3 linked regions of the Zea mays genome follow. The protein of the gene in region 2 interacts with the protein of the main gene of each other region in a pairwise test. Links are inferred from orthologs where the notes say so. Each region holds a gene or a part of one and is shown on either strand. Other genes may lie near its edges.

The links.
Region 1: the proteins of ct2 (region 2) and G protein-coupled receptor interact in binary tests that used the Arabidopsis thaliana proteins (3 or more experiments, as listed by UniProt). The link is inferred for Zea mays from reciprocal best matches to the Arabidopsis thaliana genes GP ALPHA 1 and GCR1.
Region 3: the proteins of ct2 (region 2) and guanine nucleotide-binding protein subunit beta interact in binary tests that used the Arabidopsis thaliana proteins (3 or more experiments, as listed by UniProt). The link is inferred for Zea mays from reciprocal best matches to the Arabidopsis thaliana genes GP ALPHA 1 and AGB1.

Annotation. Positions count from the first base shown.
Region 1 is NC_050101.1:119,611,246-119,622,142, reverse strand, and holds G protein-coupled receptor, read right to left. Parts: upstream 6,854-10,897; 5' UTR 6,768-6,853; coding exon 6,573-6,767; intron 5,461-6,572; coding exon 5,429-5,460; intron 5,098-5,428; coding exon 4,928-5,097; intron 3,816-4,927; coding exon 3,721-3,815; intron 3,418-3,720; coding exon 3,316-3,417; intron 3,184-3,315; coding exon 3,127-3,183; intron 2,794-3,126; coding exon 2,650-2,793; intron 2,080-2,649; coding exon 2,009-2,079; intron 1,868-2,008; coding exon 1,768-1,867; 3' UTR 1,411-1,767; downstream 1-1,410. UniProt on the Arabidopsis thaliana protein: Together with GPA1, may regulate the cell cycle via a signaling cascade that uses phosphatidylinositol-specific phospholipase C (PI-PLC) as an effector and inositol 1,4,5-trisphosphate(IP(3)) as a second messenger.
Region 2 is NC_050096.1:16,620,615-16,631,533, forward strand, and holds the start of ct2 (Guanine nucleotide-binding protein alpha-1 subunit), read right to left. Parts: upstream 4,991-10,919; 5' UTR 4,872-4,990; intron 4,667-4,871; 5' UTR 4,639-4,666; coding exon 4,546-4,638; intron 4,443-4,545; coding exon 4,370-4,442; intron 4,133-4,369; coding exon 4,095-4,132; intron 4,005-4,094; coding exon 3,915-4,004; intron 3,761-3,914; coding exon 3,683-3,760; intron 3,212-3,682; coding exon 3,104-3,211; intron 3,019-3,103; coding exon 2,917-3,018; intron 1-2,916. UniProt on the Arabidopsis thaliana protein: Exhibits a fast rate of basal nucleotide exchange. Guanine nucleotide-binding proteins (G proteins) are involved as modulators or transducers in various transmembrane signaling systems.
Region 3 is NC_050096.1:264,531,096-264,542,105, forward strand, and holds guanine nucleotide-binding protein subunit beta, read right to left. Parts: upstream 7,137-11,010; 5' UTR 6,922-7,136; coding exon 6,813-6,921; intron 6,709-6,812; coding exon 6,614-6,708; intron 5,079-6,613; exon of another isoform or gene 4,410-5,078; coding exon 3,985-4,409; intron 2,792-3,984; coding exon 2,428-2,791; intron 1,707-2,427; coding exon 1,593-1,706; intron 1,197-1,592; coding exon 1,161-1,196; 3' UTR 850-1,160; downstream 1-849. UniProt on the Arabidopsis thaliana protein: Guanine nucleotide-binding proteins (G proteins) are involved as a modulator or transducer in various transmembrane signaling systems.

The sequences.
Region 1 (10,897 bases), on a different chromosome or scaffold from region 2:
TCGTTTATTAATCTTTTTTTAAAGTTACAGCACAACATTAACACAAAAAAAGCCTCGTTCATTACGCGTTCCTTTCTCACGAAGGCTTCGCTCATGACTTGGTCTACGACGATTATGATCACACTGTATCGTGCTACCGCTCCGTTCAAAAGCAAATCATCCGAGTCACCCGACGGCGGGGCAATATGGGCGTGTGAGTGGGCCAATCGTCTGTTTTTGCTTCAAGTGCTTCCCCTTCGGTTTATTCATTCAAACCACGCCTGCTTTTTGGCGGCTATATATGTCGTCATTTCTTGTCCACGCAGCTGATATTGCAAAGTCCAAGTATCACAAAAAAAATTTGAAAGCGTTGGAAAAAAAAAGATTTCTTCTTCGACAGCTCATAAACATCAACTCCTAATATATATAAAAAAAAGCGTTGCAACCTCGACGCACTCGTACGTTGGCCACCTCCGCGTGATGTCACCTGCCAGCATGCACGAGCACGACGTTCGTTTACGCGCCAGTGCAGAGCCGTGACCCGTACGTGACGGACAAGAATGCCGCCCCCCCCCCCCCCCCCCGATCGAGACTTTCTAGTAGCGCGTGTTTTCCTGCGCACAAGGTCGAGTGTCAAACGAGCTAAGGTCGAAAGTTACAGATGCTCGTTTTGAAGTCCCCAAAAGTTCTGAAATCGAGAGTTTGTTTTGGAAGCTCTTGGGGACGACGCTGTTAGTTTTGGATTATTCAAGAATCCATCTCACTGTGACATAAGTATAGCACAGCCAAATTAAAACACTGGGAACGAAAGCAGCAGGAAACCTGTAGTAATAAAAAAATGGTGAAACAGAAGTACTGTACACCATACGACGTACGTCTACGCCACGTCATGTCCGTTAACACACATACGGCGAATCAGTGGCGTGGTTATCGTTAACAGCGTGTCGTTCCAGCCAGGCCGACAACAAAGCTACTAGTAGGAGTTGTTGGCACCTAAAATAGTCCGAGCCGAGCCTAATCTCTTAACTCACAAGTCACAATGCTATCGAGCCAAACCGAGTCTATCTCGCTAAGCCACCGAGCCGAGCGGATTTTCCAGACCTAGGCAATACACAGAGGCAGTCAGACCGCTTCGGAATAATATAGTGAAAATCGCAATGGAGAGCCATGATGCGGCCCTCGATATTTGACAGAGATCACGCGCATAAACATTTCTGGAGTCTGGAGAAGACAAAAGCTGAGAACATCGTTGGAGGGATGCTGCCTAGAAGTGCACGTCATCTCAGTTGAGCACGCAAGCTCCAGTGCTTCTGAGTTCTGGCCATCACCGACTACAACAATCAATTGAATGCTACATAGAAAGATCAAGTATATAGTTCTCAAAAGCACACAAAAATTCCCTTACCAGAACAAATGGTAAGGGGGGGGGGGGGGGGGGGGGGAACTGAAAATTTGCAACCATGTGGCGCTAGAATGTGCATTATACACAGGTGGTTATACTCGTACATCTGAACAAACAAACTCTGCTTACCTAGCTACAGATGAACATCAGTCTATCTACCGACTGTTCCTACTCTAGCCCTCCTATGTACTCCGGCCGGAGCGGGAGCGGTGAACCCCAAACCCCAGGTCTCGTGTTAAGACGATCAACAATGGACACAGCGGAACCAATTCGACGTGTTACTAACCCACTGCTCTTACAGTGATGTTGCATTCCCTTGTTGGAGATTGAAGAACGAACAGATAAACAAAAAAAAGGCTTCGTGTGCATGGAAATTCCATTACATATCAGTTACCCTCAACGATAAGAGAAGTGAGTTCATTTTCCTGTTGACTCCTCAGCCTTGACAAAGCAGGGAGGCTCCTTTTTATTCTCTCAGGTAGGAACCTGGGAAATTTAGAAGAAAAAAAATTATATATAGCTACACAGTACTTTCTGAATAGCGGCATAACTAGAATGCTTACAGTAAATAAATGCATAGCGATGAAGAAACGTATGGTTGCGACTATGTTGCAGATTAAAACTTACGTGTCGATTCTCTCTGCAATAGCTCGGCGCACAGAAGAGTTTAGCCCATAAGCAATGGAATTGAATAGGCCCTAGATAAAACAGGAAACGTCAAAATATCCACACACACACACAAAAAAAAAAAAGAGAGAGAGAGAGACAGAGAGAGAGAGAGAGAAGCGAACCATGGAATATAGTTTGGTGTCAATCAAACAAAACACTTACATGAATAACTTCATATCCAATATAGGAAAAATAAATGGATGTGTGCATTTAAGTAGGGGTAGGCATGGAAGAACAAAGCAAAAAGGTGCATTATAGTTATCATGGACTTATAATTGGTGCATCTGGAAGAAAGCTAGAAGGTGGAGGAAGTATTGCTTATGATAATGAAGGATTGAAGACACACATATATTTCATGTACCCATTTCCATAAGAAAAGCACAAGAGTGGTCAGACCTTTAGCCTTCCCATTCACTCATTCAGAGCTAATTACTTGCAGGGACAGGAGAAAAAAATGAAGCAATGTGGAGGCCTCTTATTCAAGCCCCTTTACTATAAATTATGCCCACCATATGTAGGTAGCCTGAGTTTTTATAGAAAAGTTCATGGTATGCTATTTCAGCAATTTAGTATAAAAAAACAAGCATTAATAGACTCACCATAAGTCCAGCGAACCCAACATCAAGAAACGAGAGCCAGACTATCCTGTGCCCTGGATTGGCAAAGTCATAAAGACGATTGATAGTTGCAAACGCCCATGAACCGATTAGAATTAGAGGGTAATAACCCCATCGGTTAAATGCCTGCAAAAAACAAGCAATCGTGTGTGGCTCAAATAAACTTTTATCCACTTGTTTTTGCATATAACGAAGAGCTGTCTGTATAGAGGTAATTAGGACAGGAAGGGAACATGATAGAGAAGGTTGAGCACACTCGATAACATGTTTTCATCAAAGGAGCTGGCATATTGTCTGTTAGTTTATCTACAATCCCGGATGTATAAAATTTACGAGAGCATGTAAGCTATCTTGGGAAGTAAAAAAGGATGTCGATAACAATCAATAGGAAAGGGGAAAATACTCCAGCAGAAGCACTGAAGCAGAAACAACGCCAAATATTTGTTGAGGATTTCGTACCTTCCTGCCTGCCCTAATGTCAGACTGATTTGATTGATCACTTATGCCAGCAGCCATCTAAAAAATCATGAGATTTTTAAAATTCAGAACATGCAAGAAAAATTAGCAGAATGTGCCAAATAGTTCACAATAAAGATCACAGTAACCTTCAATGTACACGGGAGAATTGTTGAGAAAAAGTCTGCTAACCTGCGTTGCATTATTCAGCATGCGGTTTACTTCATAGTATGTAAACCCATTGTACAAAATGGCACCCCAAAGTGGAAGATAAAAGGTTATTAAATGTAGGACCTGCAAGTAAGGTCAATTTAGTGAAAGAATTTCTATTCTGGTGACAAAATTGGAATTTCAGTTTAAATTCATTGTCTAGCTGAGGATAGTGACTTTTCATAGTCCAAGAAAAATATGTTGGAAATTCCATATAAATTGTATAAAACTCCCTTAGAATTCAAACATAGATGAGCTTATACAAAAATTGTCTTTAACGTAATAAACCGAACTTCACTTAACATAACTCTCGAAGAAGTGGCACATACTACTAATGTTTGTGTAATAATCAAGGAAAAAACTAAAACAACACAAAAGATCACATGCCTTTGCCATGCTTCCCTGCTGAATCCAGCACCAGGTGCCTGGTCTTCCGTAGTCACTTCCTATCGAACGTAATACAGTGGTAGATAGTGAAGTTCCTGGAGAAATAAATAAATAAAAACTCAAAACCATTTATAACTGTTTTTTATAGCTGGCACAGTGACATATTGACACATGGCTTCCAAAGTAAATCATTAAAATAGTGACCTACTGTTAAAAATGGAGTATGCCTACCTACAGTACATCAGATAAAAAGATTCGAAACAGACATAAGAGAGAACAGCTACATATTGGTCCCAAAATAAGATGATGCAACCAAACTGTAAAACTAAAAGAAACATATACATGAAAATGCAGATAAAGGCAACAACAATGAAAACAATGGACCATTTGAGCATGCTGATCTGCAACAAAATATCCAGGGATGGGACAATCAAATTGGAAACAGAATCTATAGCCTGAGATACTAGGGCGTTTGGCAGAGCTCCCACAGCTCTGCTCCCAGCGAGAATCACTTCTAGAAAGCCAAGTGGCTAGAAACTGAATTGCTCCATGGTGAGAGTGAAGTGAATTTAGTCTCCATTTTATACTAGAGAGTGGAAGCCAAAAAAACATGCTTCCCGTTGCTCCCAACCTGCTCCCCACACTCTAACCTCTCATGAATCACTTCACGCACAATTTGCCAAACGGTTTTCGTCAAATAGATTCACTTCTACTTGAGAATTATTTGGAATCACTCTATTGGAGAATTAGCTCTCGGAGCTAGAGAATCATGGAGCGGAGCTCTACCAAATGAGGCCTAAACATATTAACAATTAAATAAATTCAACAGTTATAGACACAGGTGCAGATTATGGACAGGTAAATGGATTGGAACTTGCAAGATTGGCTTCTTACACGGCACAGAAGGACCCAAAAGTAACAGAAGAAACTGATGAAAATAAGTACACACATTGAATCTAAAAAAATTCTAAGGGACATTATAACCTATGTGTTATCAAACAGTTGCAACACAATACATCAAACATAAATAAATGGTATGGACAATTTTAGCTTTTGTCAAGAACACTGAATCATATGGATAAAAATTTGTTATTTCTTTCAACACAAGGTCTCTCCAGAAACTGTTCTCTAACTTGTCCAAAATGTTACTTAATTTGGAAAATATAAATTCAAACAAAGGCAAATATGTAATCGACAGTTTGCATACCCCACACATATAAGTGGAAAATAGATCCAAATTCTTCAACATCAGTTTTGTGTTTTACAACTGTGCGATGCAGAGTGAATGATATGGTGGTTGTCCATAGAAAAGAAGCCACACAGAAGAAATGAGCACTGTAGTCATGTGCAAAGCAGTAAAATGCATTCGATGGCCCCCTGCAACATAAGAAAACATCGTTAAGAAATGTTTTACCATGAGCACATAACCAAAATATGCATTCAGACACAGAGACAAATGAGAGAAAGAATAGTCTGGTGTGTTTTTCTTAAACAAAAAAAACAATTATTCTGTTTTAATACTGGCATTGATATTTCTTAGTAAGCAGAATACAAGGGTAAGGTTCAAATTACTTGGCCATGAATTGAATAATAAGCATAACTGATTCTGCATATCTTCATTCTGGTAGGCTGTTAATAGCAAAAGTAAATTAACACTGAGCATGAAACTGAGGAAGTATTTATGTGTAGGAGAAGAAATGCAACATACCCCAATATAGTGAATAAGCTGCAAAACATATCCTGCAATTGACAACAAAGTTATCATAAAACATGAAACAGCTAGAGCAATAGCAATAATGAACAAACCAAGCTTCAGCTAATGTTTCTATGTGTCAGCTAAGCAACTAGACATGTAACATCATTTTTTTTCCTTTTTCTCAAAAACAAACTAGTTGTCAAGTGATGAACTAGTTAACTAGGTGCTTATTATGGCCATTGGTTTCAATATTCAACAAAATAAGTAATATGACACCAGCTGATTCCATATTTAAGAATGAACTCTGAACTATATGTATGAAAAATATGCTCCCATTCCCATCTAGTGATCTAGGCAGTAGGCACTATCCAATTGGAGGCAGAGCACATGTGTCCCTGCAACAAATCATAGACTCAAGACTTCAAGGGGGTGTTTGGCATAACTCTGCTCCACTCTAAAGCAACTCTGCTTCAAAACTCTAGGTGGAGCAACTGTGCTCTGGAGTCTAGATTGCTTTCTCATAAGTGCCAGTGGTGGATAAATACCTTCAAACTCCATGTATAGGTTGCTTTTTAAGAATACTGCAGCCTCAAAACTCTATGGAGTTTATAACTCTAGAGTTAAGGTATTGGCTAGCTCTGGCCAGTTTCTCTTGGAGTTTTGCTCTCGAGCGATGCCAAATACCCCTTAAATATCTTAGTGTCATACTTTAACCACTGGAATTGGAATGGTGTTTCAAACAAAATCCAAATCCAAGTGTAAAACATGTACAGTATGTGCTATGACGGCACTAGACTAAGGTTATCACACAACTGTTGAAATCTACCTCGTAGGTGAAAATTGACGATGGTATGCACATTTCTGAAGGTCCAGTTCCCTGCTTACTGATGACACCAGATTCTGGAGAAGTGGAGAACTAATGCATCTAATATGCATAAAATTAACTCACACCTCTTCTAAACTAAGGGTGTGTGATGAATGACCATTTTCCTTGCTAGCCATGAACGACTATTTTCAATGACACTGAAGGCTAACACCTAGCGGCTCTGTGGTTATTCATGGCTATTTTTGAAATAACAGCCACGATACATCGCACAACTAGCGGCTCAAACCCGAAAACCCTTGAAAAGCATCTAAGTTCGAGCAGGCCACTCACCGAGACGGCTAGGTAGAAGACGAGCTTGAAGGAGAACTTGCGGAGCTCGCGGAAGAGGAGGTAGCAGATCACGATGAAGGAGGAGCCTGCCAGCGAGAGCGCCGCAGCGCCAGTGCCCACGGCATCGAGGATCTGCCGGTCCCGCAGTGCCTGCCTCATCGCCGCCGACGCCGCCGCGGCAACGGCCGGAGCCATCGCCGGCGATCTATGGGACGGGGGATGTCAAGTGAAAACGACCGGGGGAATTGTTGATTGCTGGGCTGGATTGGGTTGGGAGTTGTGAATTGTGACCCCGACTGCCTTCACCGTGAAGCTAGTGTGTAATTATCTGGGCTTTCCTCGGTAGTTGGCCTCCTGCGTTATCTTTTTTTAAAAAAAAATCCTTACATTTCTTCAAAATCAATTCAGCCTAAAATGAATGTTAAAAAGCAGGGCAACAGATAAGCTTTAAACCCACAATATGATAGAAGTGTTAAGTAACCCTAGTTAGGGTTATATAGGCAAATACCTGCTTTGCTCCTGAGGGGTCTCACATCTCTATATAAGGTACCTGTACACCCCTCATAATACAGAGATCAGAAAGAGGCCAGAGGCCCAACCCTATATCATGTGTATCGTGTGTTTCCTCTGTCGTGCTTATGGGAAGGGAGACGGGTTCTCTACAGCTTCTTGCACCTCTACTGCTGACGGGAGGGAAGGAAGCGGATCTGGTGATCCGTGGTAACGTAGTTTTCAACACGTTATCAGCACGCTCTACCTCCACGTTGCTGCGGGATCAGATCTGCATCAACTCTTCATCGAGCCGGCAGGTCACCGGCCTAGCCGAACTGTCCTACGCGACAGACTTCGATTACCCTCTACGCAATCGAACGGTATTTTTTTAGATCTACTGTTCATAGGATCTCACCTAGCGGAACTTCCTGCTCTCATGTTTGTTTCGGTGGGAGTCCTTGCTGCTCCACAATCTCTGGTGGGTTCCAAAGAACGTGCCCATGCAACAATCCGCCTAGCGCGCTGCACTGACCTGACGTCGCGCACCGCTGATCCTACTGCGTCGCGTGGGCCCGCTGCTCAATGCGCCTCCGCTGCGGGCATCCTGGCTACCTCGCTGGCGGGCCTCGATCGTGCGTCACACGCGCAGAGAGGAGTGGATCGTCCATGCAGGCAGTTACTGACCGCGAACTTGACTCCGCTAATTGCTCCTACGATAGATACAGGTGGGGCCACTGACTTGCTTGCATGCTGCCGTGAACTCGTGATGGTGCATGTATGTGATGGCGCATGGAAGTAATGGCACATACATGCAACTGCATGGCTGGAGGCCTGGAGCCTTGCGCCCTTGCCCATCCGGACGTGCATGCAAGATTAAAGACGGGCATGTAAGATTAATGAAGTGGAGTCAACGCCTCCAGCTTTTGTGGGTCCTTTTTAGATTTCTTTTCTTCGTGATGAAAAAATGAGAACCAGAATCGTGGACTAGTTCAGTTGGGTTCAGTTATACCTGAATAAAACAGATTTTATGTTACGGTTCCTACTCTAAGTAATTATTTTCTACAATAAATATTAGTAAAAAATACATGCTCTATATTATTTATTCTATTTATTTCCTGTTGTAAATAACAAGTAGAATAAAGCATATTTTATGTTACAATTTCTATTTTAATTAATTATTTCCGGCAGTAAATAATTAGTAGAAAAATACATATTTAAATATGGAAAATGCTTTTTACACCTGATGTGTTATGCTCATGCAATAATTTTGGTGTCTATTTTTCTGCTTTTATTTCTCGTAGCGGATATTTAGCAGAAAATTATTAAAATGCATGTAAAATCTATATTGTTCATACTTAAATTGCTCTAAATATTTGTGTTGCGTTGAGCTTCAGACTCACGCCGAGCGATTAAATGGTATAGTGGGTACACAGATGTGGCGATCAGGTTACATTATTAATCGGCTGAATTAAGACATTGGCTAAACATTGGCTGCGCCCTGGCAACACGTCATAGTATTTATGTCGTTCGAACTTGGTTGCGTCATGTGATTGCTATGTCGCACTCTTGCTTAGTCGGATCGCTCCCGTTGAGTCGGACCGCCATTGCCGAGTCGCGTATTTTTCGCATGCCCTGCAGGCACTGTCTGTCTCCCGTGATCATCGAGTCACAATTGCGCCTGTTGCGCACATTACGTGGACTTATCGTGTACCCCGATTACCGAGCCATAATTGTGCTTGTTGCGTTAATTACGAAGGCTGGCTGTGTTGTCGTAGCCCTGATGGCCACACACGCGTTGACACCAGACACTAGAGCTTGTACTCGTGTGGATTGTGGTGGGTTATTCAAGCCCCTGAAGTCACATTATACGCAACCTTCATAAACAATTTTGTTTGGCTCTATATTTTATTTGACTGTGTTGTGTGGCATTATATATTTATATATCGCCAAGTGGCCATAACAACTATATCAAGCTCTATAGTGCTTGAATAATCTGGGAAATTAAATTGAAATATAATGAAACATAGATAAGTTAATTCTTTGCTCTCTCCTCATGCATAAAGTTTTACCCGAAGTAACCCGAAGATATATAATATAATGCATGAAAGCCTTTTTGGCATAGAAGACATCACAAATTGGGATTCTATTAGTAAGCAAAAGGCCTTACCAAATGATTTAAGACTATAAATCTCAGTCATACATTGCTCAACCAGATGTTAGCACATTGCTCTCTTTGTCGCTGAATGACATGAAGCAAACATGAGTTAAAAGGACATGTAATCGCCAGCAACACGAAGTTGCGAGTATACCGAGAGGTTATTCTGAGAAAATTTTCACTATGTTGGTGTGAAAACTATAGTGTGTTCCCGTCGAACCACTTTATTCGTTCTATCTAGGACCTCTATGCTTGTGTCGCATACATCTCTCGGAATTGTAAATACTTATAGTCACTGAATTGACTCGGGATAGTCCTTTGACAATTTGGTATACACTGTAAGCTAAATGGTAAAGGTCGGTCCTGAATGGACACATACCTGGGGTTTATGTAGCCGAACTACACTGAATTCCACCCTTTGGCATGCTTACCATTATCTACCTCCGATCTACCAGAAGTGAGAAGAGTAGACAAATAACTATGAAATCTCACATCACCACAGAGCTTGAAGCTAAATTAGACATTAACATATTCTTGGTCCTCGGAGCCAGAAGAGTCATATGTCTTGACCACTAGACTACTAGTGATGATAATTTGTGATACAAATATGAAGATCTTGTGGAGACCTATTGTATCCTCTCTACTCCTGATGATTTCTTCGTATGAGAGCAGTACTATCTGTTGTTGAAGATGGATCCTAGGCAGATACCGGTCCTATTTCATTCTTGCCAAGCAGTTATCATCATTTGCTTCATCAAAAGCTAGTTATATGGTGATTTTCCCAGATAAAATGAATTCTTGGCCTTGTCTGTTCTATTCCAAAGCTTCTCTTTTTGACGAACAACGAAGAGATCGAAATAATGATTTATAGAACAAATTGGTATATAATATGAGGAGAAAAGTTTGTCCCGCTGGCAGCTTATATCACAAATAATTGGCTATTGTTACAAGTTCTCTCTCAAAATTATAATACCTAAAAATGTTGCATAAATCGATACTCAATTTCAGAATGGTATGAGTAATTGGGTAACCCATGGGCAATGATAAAAACGAGCTGGACTATACATCTCTGCATATAAAAATCTCTGCTTGGCAGTATTGGCCGGATACCGTGCACTTTACCACCATTATATATGCGCAAACTCTCCTATGTGCTTGAAAGCACAATGCAACCAATGAATGTTCTTGTGAGCGCTAGACCTGATGGTCATTGTCCTTGTTGATCTGAAGTCAACTACTTGCTCCAAACGACAAATGGTGTGCATGAGCCCTAAAGTTTTTTTGTTTTTATGGCTAACATATTGTTGCGCGTATCAGTCTAAATCCTGATGATTGAATGTATATTTGGTGATAATAACAGTAAGTTTGCAGAATTGTAACCACAAAGCGACTTGTTGTTGCGTGTCTTGCTAGAAGTTGAGACTAATCCTTCACGTTGAAGGACAAATATGTAGTATTCATGCCACTACATCAATCTAAGTCCAAAGCTCACTGCATAAAACCCCTATCTGTAATGTGCGTAAGATTTCCCAAATAAATCACCACAATAGCATACATTGGCCACAAACTAGATGATTATGGTTGGGGATTTTATCTGTATGCTTTTAGAACATCTCGTCATTAGGGGGAGGAATGTCCATATAGTGTAATGCCTCAATATTCTATTAAACGCACAAAA
Region 2 (10,919 bases):
CGACTCCCCAAGACGGACAACCTAAGGCCAAAGAAAAACCTGATGATGTCTACACCCAAACTCCGACACAGAAGAAGGAAGACCGCAGTGCGCCGTCGTTGCCAAGCATCAAGATACCTCACGTGATACAACTCCGATTCTTCACCAACTTGACTTCCAATCTTGATCCTCCGCCCTGCCCCAGGCATATGCCCAACCTTCGACGCAATCCTGTCAATGAAGAAGGGGGATTTCGCCTCACGTCATCGTTGTCGAGCCACATCCACTGACGTAGCAGCTTCGACTTCACGCTGCAACACCAAACCTTCACCCGCATACCGAACGCCGAGAAGCAAAAGCATCAACCGAAAGGCAACACCATGGTCGAGACAAAACTTCAACAGCGACGCCTTCAGGGAGGGAGTGACATCACGGACGCACCGTCGCATGTCCGAGATGGACCGGGCTTTCGCCCAAGGAAGATAGTGCTGGGGAATGCAAAGCCCTCAACAGGGAAAGCGAAGCCCGCGGGTGCCACCGTCGCCGAGACTTTCACCCAAGAAGTCCCCCAGCACAACGTCAGGCCAAGACCCCGGATCAAAGCAAGCAACCTCTGTCGTCATCGTTGATCTAACAACCCACACAAACCCCTCCAGAGGGGCAGCGACGCGTCGACTTCGCAGCAGCCACAAAGCTGCGTCGGCCACCCCCCCTCCGGTTGGGCACACGGAACCGAGCACCACCATGTCGCATGCGACACACCGACGCACGCCGGAGCCAATACCGGCAGACGCGGCCACCGAAGCCAGCAGACATCGAGCACGAGTGCCACACAACTCGCCTCCAACAGCACCTGGTGCTGCACCCTCCGTCGGCCCGACTTGACAGCAGCAACCGCGACATGGCAGATCTTGGCGCGCGCACCACAGCAGGCGCCGCTGGGGCCACCCCGCTAGTCCACCGTCGCCCCAAACCGACACACACTTGGACGCTGTCGAGCCACCCAACCTCGGAGCACCATCGTAGGACCAGACCGCAGCCATCACCGCCCCAACACCTCTCAGCCTCCGAGCTCCGCACGCCGTTGGTTGGCAACGCTTCTTCCCCGATCCGGCGTCCTGGCAGTGCGAGGAGACAAGCTCTACGCTCCTCAATCGTCTCACAACAGGAGGCGACCGCTGTTGAGGACCAAGCGTGTGATGCCCAGCCACGACGAGGTCCCGGAAGAAGTGGAGCGACTTGTCCTCGGCACCGAAGAGGAAGAAGGCTCGACACTCTGCCTTCTCTGCCAGCCGCACCGTGAGCCCCAGCGGCAGCACTGGCGAGAAAACCGCCTGAAGGATCTGCCAGTACAGAGACAGAACCACTGGCGCCTAGAACAGCCTGCTGCCAGCACCTCCCTCTGCCATCCTTCCGCTGCCGTCCTAGAGACAGTGGTCGAGATCGCGGAGCGCCGGAACGTGGCCAAGCCACGAGGCCGCACGCACAGCGCCACACCCGCGCGGGGACCTTGACTGCCTAGACGCCGCCACTACGCGAGCCCGCCTACTGCTGCGCCGCGACTAAACCGCCCGACACAGAAACCCACTCAGACCTCAGATTTGAGCACGGGGAGACCAATCGAAGGAAGAACGCCCCGCCACCGCCATCCTTGGGGCCCGCGCCGACTTCGGGTAGACTCCTCCGGCGACGACGAGGGGGAGGGAGGGGAAGGGGGTGGCGACGCTAGGGTTTAGGGGCCACCCGTGTCGCCCGAGCGGAGGACGACGCGGGGGCTGTGTTTTTGAATCCTCCGCAGCATATACTATCACTTTAGAGGCTGTTCCTAATGTGCTACTATTATTCAAATACATAAATATAATTTAACACCACCTTTATTTGCTTGAGAGGAGGGAACATCATTGCTGAAGAAAAATAACTTGGCTAGTGTGACCAAGCTTATGTTATGGAAGTTGACAAAGGAATCGGAAGTCTTTTCAGCAAAGAAAAGTTTCTGGTAGAGGACCACATGGAAACTCAAGAGCTTGAGGCCTGAGAGACTCAGATAAAATTAAGCCCGATATATTGCAGTTTCAAGGTTATTAAAACGATAAAACGTTAGAACGTTCATGGGTGAAATTTTGACTTTTAAACGTAGTTTTAAACAACATAGGAAAGATACCAATACATCATAATTTCAGACAATAATATGAAGTTATATACCAAAACAGAGAGGTTAGTGGCTTACCAAAACTTCACCCATGAGCTGGATTGAACCCCAAAAGTAACTAATAGACTGGGCCCAAAAGTAGCTAATGGTCTAAAATGCATAAAACACTGCGTTTTACAGTTTAGAACGCCAAAACGCTAAAACGTGGTTTTAACCTCTAATTAGAGTTTTGACGTTTAAACGTAGTTTAAGCATCATTTAAACGTAGTTTTAATAACACTGTGCAGTTTAGTAGTTTTTTTTCCTTGACGCACTGCAACTGGGCATGACGATTCTGCCTTGTTATATGCAAGGTATAATATGTGTTTCCTTACTGAATATTTTGAAGGAAGGAGAGAATGTGTATAATGTGTGGGATGTATTGCATTGAGCCTCTAGGGAGAATATATAGGAGTACATGACTTGGAGGGCAAAAAGCCTATCCTAGAGATAAGAAAGGTTATCCCAGATGTAAGGAAGGTTATCCCAGGATTATAATCAATCCTAAACCAACCATATCAGGAGTTGCCTAATATACTCTAACATGCATAATATACTCTAATTTAACTAATGATCTCCTAAGGTCTTCAAAAGAAATATTTCATAGTTAATCTAGGTTCTCGTTCTGCTGCTATCTGATAGCCTCAAAAGGTAGATTTCAGTACCATGACAATCAACATGAAATATGTGACATTGTAAAACGCATATGTAAAATCTCTCCTAAAAATAGATTGAGGATAATTGTGTACCTTTGTCGGTACATAATCTTCTTCAGATAATTTGTCCAAATTTTCCATGAAGTACTGTGCACAGTCTGGGACTTGCAGAATACTCCCACGTGAATAAGTTTCCTACAAATGAATTTCTAAATGATCAAACTTTATGTTTAAAAGTTTATACATTTTTTAAAAAAAATCAAAGTAAATGGAATTTCACCTGAATGGCTGGATCTTGCCATAGTTTTCTTACATCCTGTACACGTTCTTTGTTCAACGATGGGTATTCCAATCTGGCACCAATTTCTGATAGTTTTTCTCCAATCTCCTGAATTAATAATAAAGTTACAATACAAATATACAAAAGGTAATTAAGTAAAAATGTGTGTGGTGTGCTATGAGAAGCTTCTAAGAGCTAATAAACGCATTGCAACGTCTACCAAGATGAGATTTGTTAACTATTTAACCTCATAACTACAAACAAAGCAAATGCTCATAACTTGACATAGATGAATACTGCATAATAAACATTTGAGACAACAAATATTTGAGCAAATCTAAAGCTGCCTTCTCTGAAGCAATAAAATGTAGGGGCAAGGTTCCTAGCTGCCTTCTCTGATCAAATGCTCATTTTGTTAGCATGTAATCGTGCAAAGCATAATAAGGCAGTTTGGATTATAACAGCTCCAGGCAGGTTCAACCATAGCAATTGTGTCAGGACCACACCAGGACAATTACATTGCAAAATAACCAAGTTTGCCAAAACTTAACTCTAATTTCTGAAGGCAAGTGTGCAAACCTGATTATCTGGAGATAAGACATATTTTGAAGAATCTGGTTCCACTTGGGCTAACTCTTTAGCTCCCTCATATAATATCTGCGTGTGCATGTTTAACTCATTTACTGAGAAAAAATATCTGCAAATACACCCTCATTGGAGCAGCAAGAAACTCCATAACGAAACCTTCCTACATAATCATCTCTACAACGTGATAGAAAAAAAAAGACACACCCTTTTTAGTATAGCATACTTTAATTGTCTGATACACATTAGCATGGATGACTGATGTGTAGCTCCTAAGCTCTGCCTCGTCAAAGCCAGTTTGGAAAAGAAGCTTTATCTGCGAATGAGCGGTAAGACACATCCGTGACTTGCTGTCTTGATGATGACATAAGAATTATGATCCTCTAGGGAGTGGCATAAACCTTACTTGTTTAAATATTGTAGACTTCCCCGATTCTCCAGCACCTTACAAAGAAGTGATTGAAAAGGAGGATGACTGTTAGGAATACAGGCAAAGTACCTTATCAATGGACAGGCACATTATCAAGTCTAGAATGCATGGAAAGAGAAGTGACTAGGGATCAACTTCGCAACAGTTCTTTTGGCTGATCCAGCAAACTATCAAGAGAGAAAACTACAGAACAGATATACTTCACATGAAGAAGAAAAAAAAGCTCTTAAGTTCAAGTAAGTTGGCATTACCGAGAAGTAAGAGCTTGTGGATGTGTTGTTCGGCTTTTGTTTCTTGCAAAATCCTCCGGTCAATGTCTGCAGACTGCACCCACACTGCTAATGTCAGAAGGAACCAAGTGTTGCTGCTTACCAACACAAAATCATAACCTCCTGATAGCATCAGCCTGGTCTAAGTGACAAGTTACCTTTGCATTTTCAGCTGCTTCAGCCTCGTCGAAAGAATGGGATCTGCTACAGGATGAGCCCATGCTTTCAATCACGCAGGTAAGCACAGACATTATTCTAGAAGCGCGCTCTCATGCCTGGCTGGGGAGCGGATATAGTAAAGGACATGGGTGTACACATGTACGCCCAATAATGTTTGCAAAAACACGAAGTTAGAGCATGGTACATTTATAAGCTTGCAATTAGATCAGATCAGATCCGAATACAAATACGCAAATAGCTTAGGTTAGGGTTCGGGTGCTCGGTTCCGCACGGAAGCAAGCGAAGAAGAGGGGGGTGCGCGTACCTGGTGGGTGCTCGTCGGCGAGGGGGCCGACGAAGACCTGACGGAGGGGCTGACGAGGCTACACCTGGGCACCTGACGGAGGGACGCGGCGGCGGTCGCCCACTAGCGCCACTCAGAGCCAGAGGGGAGAGAGCGAGTGAGCGAGCGCACGCGGGGTGAACAGTAGAAGAAAGGCAGCGGTGAACTGGAGTTCCGTGCTGTATGGTCGCCACCTGGTACCAGTGAAAGCGAGAAGGAAAGGCACGTTCTCGCATCGCTGCCGAGAGAGAGCGTGTTTGGTCGAGAAACGGACGAGAATGGAACGAGGAGGTGTTTTTTTTTCTGGGTGTTTAGTTTTTAATGGAACAGAAATAAAACGGCTCATAAAGTCTATAGGTAAAAATGTATCATAAATAATTAGAATGTTTTTTCCACCAAAATAATCGGATAGGAGCGCTCTTTTGGACGGGAGGACTCTCCCCCTCGTTCCCTCCCTAATCATATGCATCTCTAACCAAACAAAGAATATTTTACTCTTTAACCAGACAAAAAAAATGAAACACATATATTCTGCTTGCCAAACATAGGACATAATGGCTCCATTCTTTGAAATAAAACTGTCACATTCTAGTTAACTCTTCAACCAAACACACCATAGGGATCACGTTGAACATATTGGTTTGCTACAAATTGAAAGGAAACTTTTGCTTAGGCGGGTGTCAGTGCACCATCCCCTCTTGCTCTACCACGTCAGCTCCAGACTGCACTCTTGACCTTATTGTTCAAGTGCATAGTCTGCAACAGGCTATACCCTAAACCCACAACCACATCGGGGTTTTCTATTTCAGAATTAAGTAATTCACGTAGATTTATGTCAACGCTAAAAAACCACACAACATACTATTTTTATTGAAATAAAAATTTGTGATATCCTGGCCCCTGAGATGGTGATATCCTGGCCCAAGGCTTAATAAAATTAATAAAGTATCCATACCAACAAGGTGCATCTTCTTTTTTCAGAAGTCTGTCTCGAAAAAACCTCCAAGTTAAGCGTGTTTGACTTGGAGCAATTTTGGATGGTGACCGACCGGAAAGTTTTCTCGGATGCGCACGAGTGAGGACAAAGTACGCACAAAAGACTCGTGTTGGTCTGTAGGGACAATATATGATCCTAGAGAGCTGTTAGGAGTAAGTACCGCCGGTCCAGGGATTGGACGCAGTGTTACAAGTGGTATCAGAGCCGACCCTCGAGGTTTCACGGGCGTGTGTGGGCTAGGGGGTCGGGTATATGGCGCATGTGGGCCCAGAGTGGTCACATGGCATGGCATATGACGACACTAGACACACAGACGTGACTAAGAGGAGAGATTCCTGGATTAGAGTTGACCGACGAGGACGCCGGTCTTCTAAGGGGGGTGGATTGTGATATCCTGGCCCAAGGCTTAATACAATTAATAGAGTATCCATACCAACAAGGTACATCTTCTTTTTCGAAAGATGTCTCGAAAGAACCTCCAAGTTAAGCGTGTTTGGCTTGGAGCAATTTTGGATGGATAACCGACCGGAAAGTTTTCTCGGGTGCGCACGAGTGAGGACAAAATGAGCACAAAAGACTCGTGTTGGTCTGTGAGGACAATATATGATCCTAGAGAGCTGCTAGAAGTAAGTACCGCCGGTCCAGGAATTAACGGGGTGTTATAAAGCCTGCCCTGGTAGGGGTTATTTGTATAGATGAATTGGGTATGGAATTTGTGATTTTCACAATTTTACGAACGTTTTGTACTTGTCGAAACCGACTAGCTACATCGCTAGCACATGTGGCGCTGACGTGGCCAGGTGGACCAATCGAAACTGCCACCTCACTATCGCCCCTTGCTATCACCCAGTGATGTTGCCACCAACGCGTCGCTTGCCTTTCAACTATCTCTTGCTCAGGGACATGTTCCAGTGGTGGATGAGAGCGGCGCGATACCGCCCGCTCTCACTGGCAGTGGCAGCGTCTCCCACCAGCTCGCTCGCGCCCGCCTGTCGTCCCACTCCCTCCTCACGTCGGACGTAGGGTTGACGAGTGCGTGCGCGCAGTCAACCAAACACCGTCTCTCTTTCTCTTTAGTATGTGAAAGGGAATTAGGCTTACACCTAGTCCCTAATTAATTTTGGTGGTTGAATTGCCCAACACAAATTTATTGGACTAACCAGTTTGCCCAAGTGTATAGATTATACAGGTGTTAAAGGTTCACACTCAGCCAATAAAAAGATCAAATTTGGATTCAACACAGGAGCAAAGGGCCAACCGAAGGCACCTCTGGTCTGGGGGCACCGGACTGTCCGGTGTACACCGGACAGTGTCTGGTGCACCACCGGACATGACCGGTGCACCAGAGGACTCCAACGCCAACTCGCCACCTTCGGGAATTTCCAGAGGCACTCGCGCTATAGTTCACCGGACTGTCCGGTGTACACCGGACAGTGTCCGGTGCGCCAAGGAGGAGCGGCCTCAGGAACTCGCCAGCTTCGGGAAACTCCAACGGATAGTCCGCTATAATTCACCGGACTGTCCGGTGTGCACCGGACTGTCCGGTGCGACTCCGGAGCAACGGCTATCTCCGCGCCAACGGCTCTCTGCCGCGCATTTAATGCGCGCTCTGCGCGCGCAGAAGTCAGGCGCGCCCATACTGGCACACCGGACAGCAAACAGTACCTGTCCGGTGTGCACCGGACACCCAGGCGGGCCCACAAGTCAGAAGCTCCAACGGTCAGAATCCAACGGCAGTGATGACGTGGCAAGGGGCACCGGACTGTCCGGTGTGCACCGGACTGTCCGGTGCGCCATCGAGCAGACAGCCTCCCAACGGCCACTTTTGGTGGTTGGGGCTATAAATACCCCAACCACCCCACCATTCATTGCATCCAAGTTCTCTACTTCCCAACTACTACAAGAGCTCTAGCATTCAATTCTAGACACACCAAAGAGATCAAATCCTCTCCATATTCCACACAACGCCCTAGTAACTAGAGAGAGAGATTTGTTTGTGTTCTTTCGAGCTCTTGCGCTTGGATTGCTTCCTTCTTTCTTGATTCTTTCTTGTGATCAAACACTCACTTGTAATTGAGGCAAGAGGCACCAATTGTGTGGTGGTCCTTGCGGGAAGTTTGATTCCCAAAGTGATTTGAGAAGAGAAGCTCACTCGGTCCGAGGGACCGATTGAGAGAGGGAAGGGTTGAAAGAGACCCGGCCTTTGTGGCCTCCTCAACGGGGAGTAGGTTTGCAAGAACCGAACCTCGGTAAAACAAATCCGCGTGTCACACTCTTCATTTGCTTGCAATTTGTTTTGCTCCCTCTCTCGCGGACTCGTTTATATTTCTAACGCTAACCCGGCTTGTAGTTGTGATTATTTTTGAGAATTTCAGTTTCGCCCTATTCACCCCCCCTCTAGGTGACTTTCAATTGGTATCGGAGCTCGGTGCTTCATTAGAGCCTAACCGCTCGAAGTGATGTCGGGAGATCACGCCAAGAAGGAGATGGAGACCGGCGAAAAGCCCACTACAAGCCACGGGAGCACTTCATCGGAAGAGTCCCGCACCAAGAGGAAGGAGAAGAAGAAGAGCTCCTCCAACAAAGGGAAGGAGAAGAAATCTTCTTCGCACCACAAAGAGAAGAAGGAGAGATCTTCCTCCCACAAGCCACATCGGAGAGGGGACAAGCACAAAAGGATGAGGAAAGTGGTCTACTACAAGACCGACACTTCATCAACATCGACCTCCGACTCCGATGCGCCCTCCGTAACTTCTAAACGCCAAGAGCGTAAGAAGTTTAGTAAGATCCCCCTACATTACCCTCGCATTTCTAAAAATGCACCTTTACTTTCCGTCCCATTAGGCAAACCACCAACTTTTGATGGTGAAGATTATGCTAGGTGGAGTGATTTAATGCGATTTCATCTAACCTCACTCCACAAAAGTATATGGGATGTTGTGAGTTTGGTGCACAGGTACCATCCGTAGGGGATAAAGACTATGATGAGGATGAGGTGGCCCAAATCGAGCACTTCAACTCTCAAGCGACAACAATACTCCTCGCCTCTTTAAGTAGGGAGGAGTATAACAAAGTTCAAGGGTTGAAGAGCGCCAAGGAGGTTTGGGATGTGCTCAAAACCGCGCACGAAGGAGATGAGCTCACCAAGATCACCAAGCGGGAAACGATCGAGGGGAGCTCGGTCGGTTCCGGCTTCGCAAAGGGGAAGAGCCACAACACATGTACAACCGGCTCAAGACTTTGGTGAACCAAGTGCGAAACCTCGGAAGCATCAAGTGGGACGACCACGAAATGGTTAAGGTTATTCTAAGATCTCTCATTTTCCTTAACCCCACTCAAGTTCAATTAATTCGTGGTAATCCTAGATATACTAAAATGACCCCCGAGGAAGTTATCGGGAATTTTGTAAGTTTTGAGTGCATGATCGAAGGCTCAAGGAAGATCAACGAGCTTGATGATCCATCCACATCCGAAGCTCAACCCGTCGCATTCAAGGCGACGGAGGAGAAGAAGGAGGAGGCTACACCAAGTCGACAACCTATAGACGCCTCCAAGCTCGACAATGAGGAAATGGCGCTCGTCATCAAGAGCTTCCGCCAAATCCTCAAACAAAGGAGGGGGAAAGACTACAAGCCCCGCTCCAAAAAGGTTTGCTACAAATGTGGTAAGCCCGGTCATTTTATTGCTAAATGTCCTATATCAAGTGACAGTGACCGAGGCGACGACAAGAAGGGGAGAAGAAAGGAGAAAAAGAAGTACTACAAGAAGAAGGGCGGCGATGCCCATGTTTGTCGGGAGTGGGTTTCCGACGAAAGCTCAAGCGACTCCTCCGACGACGAGGACGCCGCCAACATCGCCGTCACCAAGGGACTTCTCTTCCCCAACGTCGGCCACAAGTGCCTCATGGCAAAGGACGGCAAACGGAAGAAGGTTAAATCTAACTCCTCCACTAAATATGAGTCTTCTAGTGATGATAATAATAGTGATGAGGAGGACAGTTTGCGTGTTCTCTTTGCCAATCTTAACATGGAGCAAAAAGAAAAACTAAATGAATTGATTAGTGCTATTCATGAAAAGGATGACCTTTTGGACTCCCAAGAGGATTGTCTAATTAAAGAAAACAAGAAACATGTTAAGGTTAAAAAGGCTTATGCTCTAGAAGTAGAAAAATGTGAAAAATTATCTAGTGAGCTAAGCACTTGCCGTGAGATGATTGACAACCTTAGGAATGAAAATGCTAGTTTAAATGCTAAGGTTGATTCTCATGTTTGCATTGTTTCAACTTTCAATCCTAAAAATAATAATGATGATTTGCTTGCTAGGATTGAAGAATTGAATATTTCTCTTGCTAGCCTTAGAGTAGAAAATGATAATTTGATTGCTAAGGCTAAAGATTATGATGTTTGCAAAGTTACAGTTTCCGATCTTAGAGATAAAAATGATATTCTTCATGCTAAGATTGTTGAACTTAATTCTTGCAAACCCTCTACATCTATTGTTGAGCATATATCTATTTGTACTAGATGTAGAGATGTTGATGTTAATGCTATTCATGATCATATGGCTTTAATTAAACAACAAAATGATCATATAGCAAAACTAGATGCTAAAATTGCCGAGCACAACTTAGAAAATGAGAAATTTAAATTTGCTCGTAGCATGCTTTATAATGGGAGACGCCCTGGCATTAAGGATGGCATTGGCTTCCAAAAGGGAGACAATGACAAACTTAATGCCCCTCCTAAGAACTTGTCTAACTTTGTTAAGGGCAAGGCTCCCATGCCTCAGGATAACGAGGGCTACATTTTGTACCCTGCCGGCTATCCTGAGAGCAAAATTAGGAGAATTCATTCTAGGAAGTCTCACTCTGGCCCTAATCATGCTTTTGTGTATAAGGGTGAGACATCTAGCTCTAGGCAACCAACCCATGCTAAGTTGCCTAGAAAGAAAACTCCTAATGCATCAAATGATCATGACATTTCATTTAAAACTTTTGATGCTTCTTATGTGCTTACTAACAAATCCGGCAAGGT
Region 3 (11,010 bases), about 250 Mb from region 2:
ATTTTAATTATTACGTACTTTGTAATTTTTAATTCAATAAAAAATATTATGTTGTGTGTTTTCTCAGCGTTGAAATAAATCCGCGTGAATTACTTAATTCTGAAATAGAAAAGCTGACGTGGCTATAGCCTGAGGCTGTAGCCTGCTGCAGCCTGTGCACTGGAGCAGCCGGGGCGAGAGTGGAGGCGAGAGCTGACGTGGCAGGGGCGAGAGGGTGGACTCAGCCTAAGGTTCGGTTGGCTCGCAGCGTCTCCTGGGTCATGGACGTTTCTGGGAGTTTGGCTGGGTTCTTAGTGGGAATGACAAGTCAATGAAAGATGCATACCTGGAACAACAGTTTTGATATTTGATGTTTCCCTCGCCTCGCATCATGTACATTTATTTATTATTATTATTTTATGACTTCGAGAGTACACTCAAGATAAACATTTGCTTCGCCTTGCCTCATGCACATATATTAAATACTAGTATTTTGTAGTTAGTTGCCAGTGCATTATTATGATTATTTATAATATTTTTTTCTTTATACAAGACAAGTGGATATGAAAAGGCAAGTTTGAGAACCCCATTTTCCAAAGGATTTACATTTTTCCAAGAAAATTAGTTTATTTTCTCTTGGAGAAATAGAAATCACTTAAAAAATAGTTCCCAAACTAGCCCCAGGGAAGGAAGTGAGGCAAAGTTTGAATCCTGCACGCCCCATTCTTTGCTCGCCAGTCGCTGGGGCAAAGGGAGGGAGGAGGATGCACAAAGAAATTCATGCTTCAAAAGTGTGGTGATTACTAAACATAAAATGCATATAGTACGCCCCATTAAGCTAATGTTCTTAATTCAGCAAATGGACAAACTGATATGATAAATTGATTAAGGAAATACATGCTACTTCACAAAACCTGAAAAGATCAAACGGTTGTACAAAGAAAAGGGCAGATCACACGTTACTGATATTCTCGTAATAACAGTATAAACAGTTACCAACTCAACAAGATGTAGCGCCGTGACACTGACAAATTGCACATTTTTCCATTAAACATAGCGCGAACAGAGCTTACAAAACAACAAAGGGATTCCCAGGAACAAGTCGAGTTGGTCACCAATCACCACTGTCCGTTGTTAAGGGGCAACAAGGAACATACAACATGGGGGAGAAAAGTTGGCCTTCAAACTATCTTCCGGTGTCCACTGAAGGCCCAAATCTGTAAATTTTCAACAATTGACACCATCGATATAAAAAATACTGAAATTTGCACCAAACTACTATTTATCTGGGAATTCTCAGGATTAGTGATAGAATATGCTAAGAGTGGGGAAAAAGAAGAGTATAATCCATTATTCCATCCTAGGTACCAAGAACTAAGAAGTACCGTATTTCAATCCAAAGAGTATTCGTCATCAATACCAAGTAAAGATTTAACCAGAGTACTCTAATGAAAGGTATTCACTTTGAGTAGGGTTTAACAAACAGCATAAGCTGAGTATGCATGTAGTACAACTACTACTTCAGTTAGAGTAAAACTGTTAGTGTCAAAGGCAACAATTCAACAAAACTGAGGAAGCAGTCAATGAAAATGATCTTTCTTAAGTGTCCTTACCTTCAAATTTTTGTCCCAGCTTCCTGTACACAATGCACTCCCATCAGATGACATCCCGAGGCAACTTATACGGCCATCATGGGAGTTTTGCAGGTTTCCCAAATTAAGTACCACCTGCAAAATTTCAACGGAAATTGACAACAGAAGGTACTATAAACAATAATGACAAACAGATAAAAAATAACGGAGGTGACCGACAAGCCTTCACAATAACTTGAACTCAGATAAGCTTTTAAATGCAGGTATACAATTATCCATTAAGTTGGCCTAAATCAAAACCAACGTTCTAAACCTCTTGGCATATAGCACTAACTAGGAATCTCTTGATACAATACAAGGTGATCTGCAGCAGCATCCTCTAAATTTGTATGCATGACCTGCCTAGTCTAGGTTGATGATATATGTGGACTAATATGGAAGGAACCGAGGCTAGGTTACTTATTCATGAGGTCCTGGGTCCAATGCAAACATCAATTCATGCAATTGCAATAGTTGCTGAGGAGCATTTCAAATAAAAATTTAGGCAGTTAGTTCATCATATTCCATTGCTTTCTCCCGTGGCTAGATTTCGCATTTGTATGCTTATATTGCTACTGACTGGCAATGGAGTTATGCTTATCTAACATAAAGATTATATCACTAGTGTTAACTGATTGCCTAACATTGAATTTATGTGGCTCACACCAAGTGAACTGTATGTCATATTTTTCTCGATTAAGAAAACCGTGGCGAAACAGTAAAGTGTACCAGTAACTTGTTGATTATGGGCATTAGTTTTCCTTTGTAATATAAAATAAGCTGTATTCAATCCATGGTAAATGGTAAAAATGCAAACCTCGGCGAGAAGTGTGTCCCACACATAACAGTCACCATTGGAGTAACCAGCAAAAAGTAGCCTTCCTGATATTGAAAATGCAATAGATGTAACAGTAGGTAGTTCATTACTATTTCTATCAGGCTCCCTACTGTACACCTGAAGTTGATGCCCTGTTCTCATATCAAATAATCTACATGTGCCATCATCTGAGCCAGTACCAAACCTATGGCCATCAGGGAAAAACTTCACACTGTTAACATCATCCTCATGTCCATGGTAGGTTCGAACAGCTCGACTTGCAATTCTGATATCCCACAGCCTCACAGTTGTATCACATGAGCCAGAGACAAACATATTTGTATTTGATGAGTTGATGGACACACTGAACAAGAAAGGGAAAGGTCAGAGAATTCAAAACCAAACTCCAAATATCAATGATAACCTGATAAACCAGCACTTTCAGTTAAAAAACGCAACATAAATGTGCTACCATATGTTACTTTGGTTCATGTATTTGCTGCATAGACAACATATTTTGCACATGCGTCTGCTAGACTAGTTGGTAAGTAGTGCCCAATTGTACTAGGGCAATTGCATCCATAATAAGTGATGTAATATCAGCAATCTTAGGCAAGAGTGTTATCCAAATGCCTACTGTGCTACCATGTGAAGACCTTACCACTCCACCTCCGGTCCAACAAGCACGCACATGCGCACACAATACCAAATACTCCATCCATTTCAATTTATAGGTTGTTTTGGATTTTGTAGATACATAACCTCTATTATGTATTTAGACATATTGTATATCTAGCTATATAGCAAAAATTGAAAAGCCAAAACGACCTATAATTTGGGTCAGAGAGTGGAAAAATGCACTACCAAGTCATATCTCATGGTGGATCAATGAAACTAATCTGATATTGTAGATATTGGTGCATTTTCAATAAACTTAGTAAATAGTGTTAAATGCACTGAAACCCTAACCCTAATGTGGGTTGGGAATGTATTAGTATAGCAGAGTATGTGGGCCAAAGCCCATTACAGGAGAGAATACACACACAGTTACCTAAGGCTATCTCCAGCAGTTTACCCATACCCATACTCATAGTCAAACTCTACTCTGTGAATAGTAGAGTCTACAGTGCAAAACAGTGTTTTGGGTAACTAGAACTGCTGCACAAATAGAGAAGTTTGATTTATGACAAACTAAAATACCAACAATTTGGAATGGAAGGAGTACTTGTTATTACTAAAATTACATTCAGTACTAAAAAGTACGTTTTCATTGTCCAACTGTAACAGCAGACAAATACAAACCAGTCATTGTAGGTAAACTTTATTCAAATCCACATGAATAATATTCAGTTTACAAAGAAAACTTTAGAAGCAATAGGGATAATTTGATCATCGAACATTGACATATTGGTAAAGCTAGCAACCTAGTGTGCACCAGCCTAAGTTAAAAATGTACAAATGAGAAGATACCAATTAACTTTGAGGAGAGAAATCAGAAGCGCTACACATGGCACTAAAATATTCAGTCTTCAAAAAATCAGAAGCACTACCAATTACCTTTGAACATCAGCTGTATGCCCTGATGGGAATTCACCACCAAATATTGATATCCTCTGTCCAGTAGTAACATCCCAAAGAACACATGTTTGATCACCTGAACTAGTAATAAGACGTGTTTCCTGATCTGGGACATATTGACATGATGAGACATAGCCCTTGTGTCCAGTAAGAATTCTTGATACTGGCATGTTCCCATCTCTGTCTGCTTGAGAATTGAGATTGAAAATAGAGCACGCACTATCAAGACCACCACAGGCGACAGATTGGCCATTGGGTGCAAAAGCACACGCCATAACCCATGGGCAATGCAGCTTTATGGCATGTGTTTTCTGGCTTGTCAATGCATTCCACACAATTAACCTTCCATCTTGAGAGGCACTGACTATCCAATTCTTTTCAGGGGTCCAATCCAGAGAATATACCTGTGATGATTGATGACTTAGGAGTTAATAGAATACCACTAAACCATTTGATGCAGCAATTTTGCAAGTAGTACCCTACACAGATAGCTGAAGTGCTGAATTTCCAAGAATCACCGCAAAATCCAAATATATGCAATTATGCATCTTCGAACAGGTGGAAGTCCATGTCTCCAAAAGTTTTCATAACTTTAGCAACATGATGAGGTGTTCTGCTCTAGTTAAATGGCCCTCACAAAAAAATACTCTAGTTAAATGGCAATAAATCTGGAAGATCCTAATTTTTAGCAGCAGGGAGGAGGCTTGCCTCGGTTTATCCCTTCCCCAGGCCCCTTTTATCAAAGCTAGGGCAAAAGAAGGCTGCCAAGTGCCACCAAAATAATGGGATGATATAATCCTTGTTAGCTTGCTTCTGAAGAGAAAGAATGATTTCCCTTTTACAATGATGATTTGACTTGCCCCCTAGAAATAATCATTATCCCCCCTCATATAGTAGAATTGCAGAATTGTTTACTTGTACCTCTAGCTACCAATTATCGAATAATATTTCAGTGACAGATCCATGCAGCGCTAAGTATCTCTGCAACAGAATGTACATGCAGATAATCCTGTCCCACAGCTCAAACATCAACCTCGCAACGGTATCATTTTCTTCTTCATTACTCTGGCAGTCTGGCTCCATGTAATTATCATATATTAATCATCTTTGAGGAAAAAACAAACATATAATGAAGCAAACTTATCACTCTGATAAATGAAAGCTACCAGTTTATCCACAATCCATTCTACAACTACAATTGGTTTTCAACCAATAACATGTAAGTGATATAGTGATCATATGAATGCACTACGTGAAATATGTTGAACTATATATTTGTAACAAAAAGGAACCTTTTCTATGGAAGACACTCCGTGTTATCACCAGTTACAGCACCAATAATTACTTCAACTGAATGATGATCGCCCAGCTTAATACATATCCAGTTGTACCATTGATTCTCTCTTGTATAGTTGATGGTTAAGTACTAGAGTTGGCTTTTTCCCTCGGGGTTATGGAAAGAATGGATATGAAGTGCCCTCATTGCTCGCTAATATTTTAAATCTTATTATAGCGACCTATGGTTATCAAAATTCAGATTCACACTTTGATTCAACATAAAGATGTATTCTGCCTGAAGATAATATTATCTGATTAGGCACAACCATATGGTGTTAATTTACTGTAACCAGAGCCAAGCTGTGCCTACATAATGCAAAGTACCCAAAATTCTATTCGCTTGGTAAGATTAGCCTGGTATGCTTGAAGAAAGTAAAATCATACATGACAAAACTTACATACTGATGGTCTGATGGACCCATTCCAGTTGTTGATAAATGTTTACAAACCTTGATCCGTGAACCCTGCACTTGCAGTTTTCAAAGTTCTATATGGCTCACTTAAAAATTCTCATAGACCAAATTGCACTCCGATTTAACCTTACCAGTTACTACACATTCTGTCACAGTAAGGCTTATATAATTACGGATGCAATGCCAAATTAATATAGTTAAGAACCATTTTGTGGCCAAATGCTGCAAAACGCCCATAACAGTTTTATAAATTAGTAGTACCTTGCTTGCTGGATGAATCTGATGATACACTTTCTACAGGACAAAGTTAATTGAGCACTTACAAACTCTGTCCCCTTAAACGTGCAAGGGCCTTCAAATTTTGAACCAATAACCTTGTAACGTGCATCCAACCTATAATTCCCAATTCCCAAACCACAAGTCGACCTCTCTGTAATCAACAATACTGTGTCTACTGTCTAGAGAAACTTGAATGGTGCTAAACCCTGGTAAATTAGGCGAAATCTTTTAAAATATCCAAAGGAAGTTGAGGGATTGAGGCTGAAGGTACATCACAAGGAGCCACGTCCAGGACCAACAAAACGCCATCCATGTCAACAAGCACGCACCATGGAGGCGATCCTATTGACCAGTTAGTATTACAATTTACACTATTACTTATTACTCACGACGAACAACATCGCAGGTAGAAATTGCTAGCACTAGCGACTCCAATTTCCAAATTCCACAATCGCAAATGAAAATAAAAAAAGGGTCCCAACCATCTCACACTTTCAATTGCACACGAGCAAACGGAAACTAAGGGAAAAGTCGCAAAAGTTGTGCCGAAATGGAGGTGAGAGACCAAAGTCAACAACCTTTCCGCTATGGCCCTGCAGCGTGCGGCAGCAGACCAGATCCGTAGGGTTGAAGCTCACCGGCACCCTCCCCTGCGACTTGGAGTACCTCGCCACTGCACCGCGCAGTCGAGCGCACACATAGAAGTCAGCAAATGCACGCGAATTCCCCGAACCTCACGAGAGGGTTCCCGACGAGGAGGGGGGAGGGATGCCTCACCGTCGGTGTCGAGGAGCGTCTCCCGGCGCTGGCGGAGGCGCTCGCGCAGGGAGTTCACCGACGCCGTAGCTGCGGCGTGCTTCTCCTTGAGCTCCGCCACGGACGCCATGGGTGCCGCCCGCTAGCCTCGCGCCGGAGGCCGCCGCCTAGGGATTGAGTGCACGCGGGTCGGGGTCTACGAGGATCCACGCATGAAGCGGAAATTCCAATGGCTGCGGACTGCGGTTATGGTACGGGGAGCTCCCGGTGGAGGAGGTGGCCGCTGGACTCAGAGGAGATTAGGACAGGCGGCGGCGCCGACAGCGACGGCAAACTGACAAAGTGTGAGGGAGGTTGGGGCAGGTTTTGCCTCTTGGGAAGAGGTGGGGGCTAGTTGCTCGCCCGTACAGCGCATGACATCTGGGTCCCACCGTGGGCCCGGATGGTGTGTGTGGGTGGGTGGGGGAGGGGGTATGGCAGGCGCAGGCTGCTGAGGTGCTGGGACTGCAGTGACCGTTGAGGTTGGACACAGGTCGCGGCTCGCGAGCTATGAAAACAGGGTAAAAGATCATCGGGCCATGTCTGCTTCTTGGCACTAAATTTTGACACGGTAAAGATTGATGAGCTAAAGTTAGATAAAAAATCGTTATAAATTTAGTAAATTATTCCCTCCGTCCATTATATAAGGTAACTTATATTTAATTTTATATATTACTATATCGATGTACGTATATATAGATAGAGCATGCTTTATATTATGGAACAAGAAAAAAAATTACGCCTTATATTCTGTGACGGAGGGAGGACGGAGGGAGTATACGGAGATTGGAAAATTTTAGTAGCACGCTAAATAATAACGAAAATCATGTCTTCCCCGTTTTTTGGTTTAACATATTGAAGGCCAAATAATCGAACCCTATATTCCTGGTAAGTAGTTGAAAGCTGACTTTGCTTTTTTTTAATAAGGGTCTATTTAATAGAGCTTCACTTCAATAACTTTAGCTTCGGTTTTCCAGATTCACCATAAAACAACTCTAATAAATTGTTGAGGTGGATTCGAGAAGTGTTTGGTCTACACATAAACTCCAGTGTCTGTAATACAATTGATTTGTGTGTCACGAGAGAACCGAAGAGGTATTTGTAATACAATTGATTTGTGTGTCACGAGAGAACCGAAGTGGTATGTTATATAACGAGTGACATGGTGGTTAATTTTCGTGCAACTTCGTGAGAAAGTATGAAAGCAATGTTTGTGAAGCACCATTTGAGGGTCTTTGTGAATTTTATGAAGTTGATCACTAGTGTCGGTGTTTTGTATCTCGCTCCGACAAGTAAATTTATTGTGTGTGTTCTGAGCTCCAGAGGGTGTGCGCGGAGGGCGCAAGATTTATACTGGTTTGGTCAGAACGTCCCTACATCTAGTCATCGGTGGCTTGCGCTACCGGCTCCATTGATAATCAAACGCGTAGTATGGGTTACAAGCAGTCGAGAGAGGGAGGAGAGACTCCATGATCTCTTTACCGGGTGGAAGTGGAGCTTTAGAAGCTAAGAGGTGGAGTCCTAGCTAAGTCTTGGCTTGGTGGGGCTCCGGCCTCCTGGTCCTCGTCGACGCTCTTCCTCTTATCCGTCCTTGTGAGTTCGTCTCCTTATGACGGCGTTCGGTCGTCTCCAAGTGTCCTTCTATTCATTTCTTCTCAATCCCCTTGCGTAGAGACCAGTCTCTCCCTTTTTACAGGCGGGGTTAGGGGTCGACCAACGGTGACTTACTGACTTCTATGGGAAGGAGTTGTAAGGCAGAGTAAAACCAATGTTTTACCCCGGGGGAGTCCATGCGTACTCGCGGGGACGACGATGGTCCCAGACACCATCATTGCGGCTATGTCGACCCTGGCTTCTGTAGCCTAGGGATCGATGCAGTCCTGTCGGTTACCATAATTAGGGGTACCCCCAACACTCCTAAACTCGGCTGGTAATCACCATCAGCGCAAACTGCAGAAACTGATGGGCACAATTCAGGTCAAGGCTTCAAGGGACATGGTCTCGCCTTGCCCGAGCCCAGCCTCGGGCGGAAACTGTAGTCCCAGGCGAATTCACGCCTCGCCCGAGGGCCTCCTCAAGCAACGGGCGCACCCTCGACTCGCCCGAAGCCCAGCTCGGGCAGGCTTCGTAGTGAAGCAACCTTGGCCAAATCGTTTGACCAACCGACCGTATCGCAGGCGCATTCAATGCAAGGATCGCCTGGCATCTTATCGTGACACGCGCGCCTCAGTCGGCAAGGTCGAAGTCCGCAGTCACTTCGCCCTCCCACTGACTGACCTGACAGGAAAACAGCGCCGCTCGCCCCTCTCCGACTACTGTGCCACCCGCTAGGGTGAGGCTGACAGCAGCTGAGTCTAGCCTCAGGCGCCACAGGAAGCTCCGCCTCGCCCGACCTTGGGCCTCGGCCTCAAGAGAAGTCTCTGCCTCGCCCGACCCCAGGGCTCGGCCCCCGCCTCGGCCTCGGAAGGTGGTCTCCGCCTCGCCCGACCCCAGGGCTCGGCCTCAACCTCGACCTCGGAAGGTGGTCTCCGCCTCTGTAGGATCTAGGACACCGGCTAGAGGGGGGGTGAATAGACGGTTTTGACTAAAATAAAAAATACTAAATAAATTTAATCAATACAACAAGAGGAATAAATTCTCTAGTGACAATAAGTAAACAATGTATGAAAAACAACTACGGAGATTGAATACTTGAAGAACAATAAGCAAATGACTAATCAATTGCAAGGCAATAAGTAATGCGAGAAGGTATAGACACCGAAATTTATCTCGTGGTATCGGTGATTTGCCGATCACCCCTAATCCACGTTGAGGTGGACTTCAAGCTCTCACTTGCTCCTCTATCAAGACACAACTTGATCTTTGAGCCAAGTGGACAAGAAATCACTCAATACCTCGATTCCACTAATGTCACCTTTGCCGCTCCGGCGAGGTAGGCGCGAACCCCTCACAATCAACACCGCGGCTTCTCCACAATCTTCTTGGAGAGCTCGACGGAGACAATCACCCGAGCCGTCTAGGAGGCGGCAACCTCCAAGAGTAACAAGCCAATGACGCTTGCTCGGTGTACCACCTAGTGCCTCAAGAATCACCAAATGATGCAAATGCACTAGGAACCCTCAATCTCTCACTAGAATGCAATCTCAAGCAAAGAGTGTGAGAGAGTGAGTTGGAGGATCACAAATGAGCTCAATGTGTGCAAGGAATGGCCAAGAGAGCTCTCTCACACGAGCTACCCTTCTATTTATAGTCCCCCATCAAAATCCAACCGTTATGTGCAAAAGGCAGCAGTTCTGCGCACACGCGGACCGTCCGCGCCCTAGGGCCGGACGGTCCGCCGTACATATAACGGCTATAATGACCGTTTGAAACATGTCAGAGCTGACACAAAAAGGTGGGTCCGGACAGTTCGCCCTTCAAGGCCGGACCGTCCGCGACCTGGCAGCTTGAAACACCCGAGCCTCGGATCAAGAGAAGTTAACACACGCGGACCGTCCGGCTATAAATCCCGGACGGTCCGAGACCTGAGACAGTACTGTCCGGACTGGTCCCCCGGACAGTCCGTAGTACAAATCTACAAAAACACACAGTCCCTGTCCAAAAACGAGTTTGACACTTGCGGACCGTCCGCCCATCACAGCCGGACCGTCCGCCTATAATTCAGGGACTGCCCGAAGCCACCCTTCTCTGGTTATGACTGCGGACGGTCCGGCCCTAAAGCCCGGACGGTCCGCAGTGCAATAGAACAAGGTATCCACACAAGTGGTCAGACTTCGGACCCCCTCTGGAGGATCGCGGACGGTCCGCCCCCAAGGCCCGGACAGTCCGCGCGTCCATGACTTCGCAATTTTCAAACATGCTTTTGAAAGAACTTTTAACTTACGAAATGTGAAGCGCTGTTAGTCCTCATGCAAATGCAACTACTTGATGCTCTATGAGGCACTAAGTTTTACACAGATCTAAGTCATTGAACCCTCTTAATAGTACGGCTATCTAGCCTACTAATCCGGTCAGGTATCTTCTCTAAACTCTTCAAGACCGGCAAAAATGAAACCTATATTATACCTTTTCCTTCATCTGATTCACAACCAATGCGTATGATTCTTCAACATTTCCTGTTCTATGTGGTCCAACCCTGCATTCTTATTTCTCTTAGAATCGTTAGTCCACAAGCAGTTGT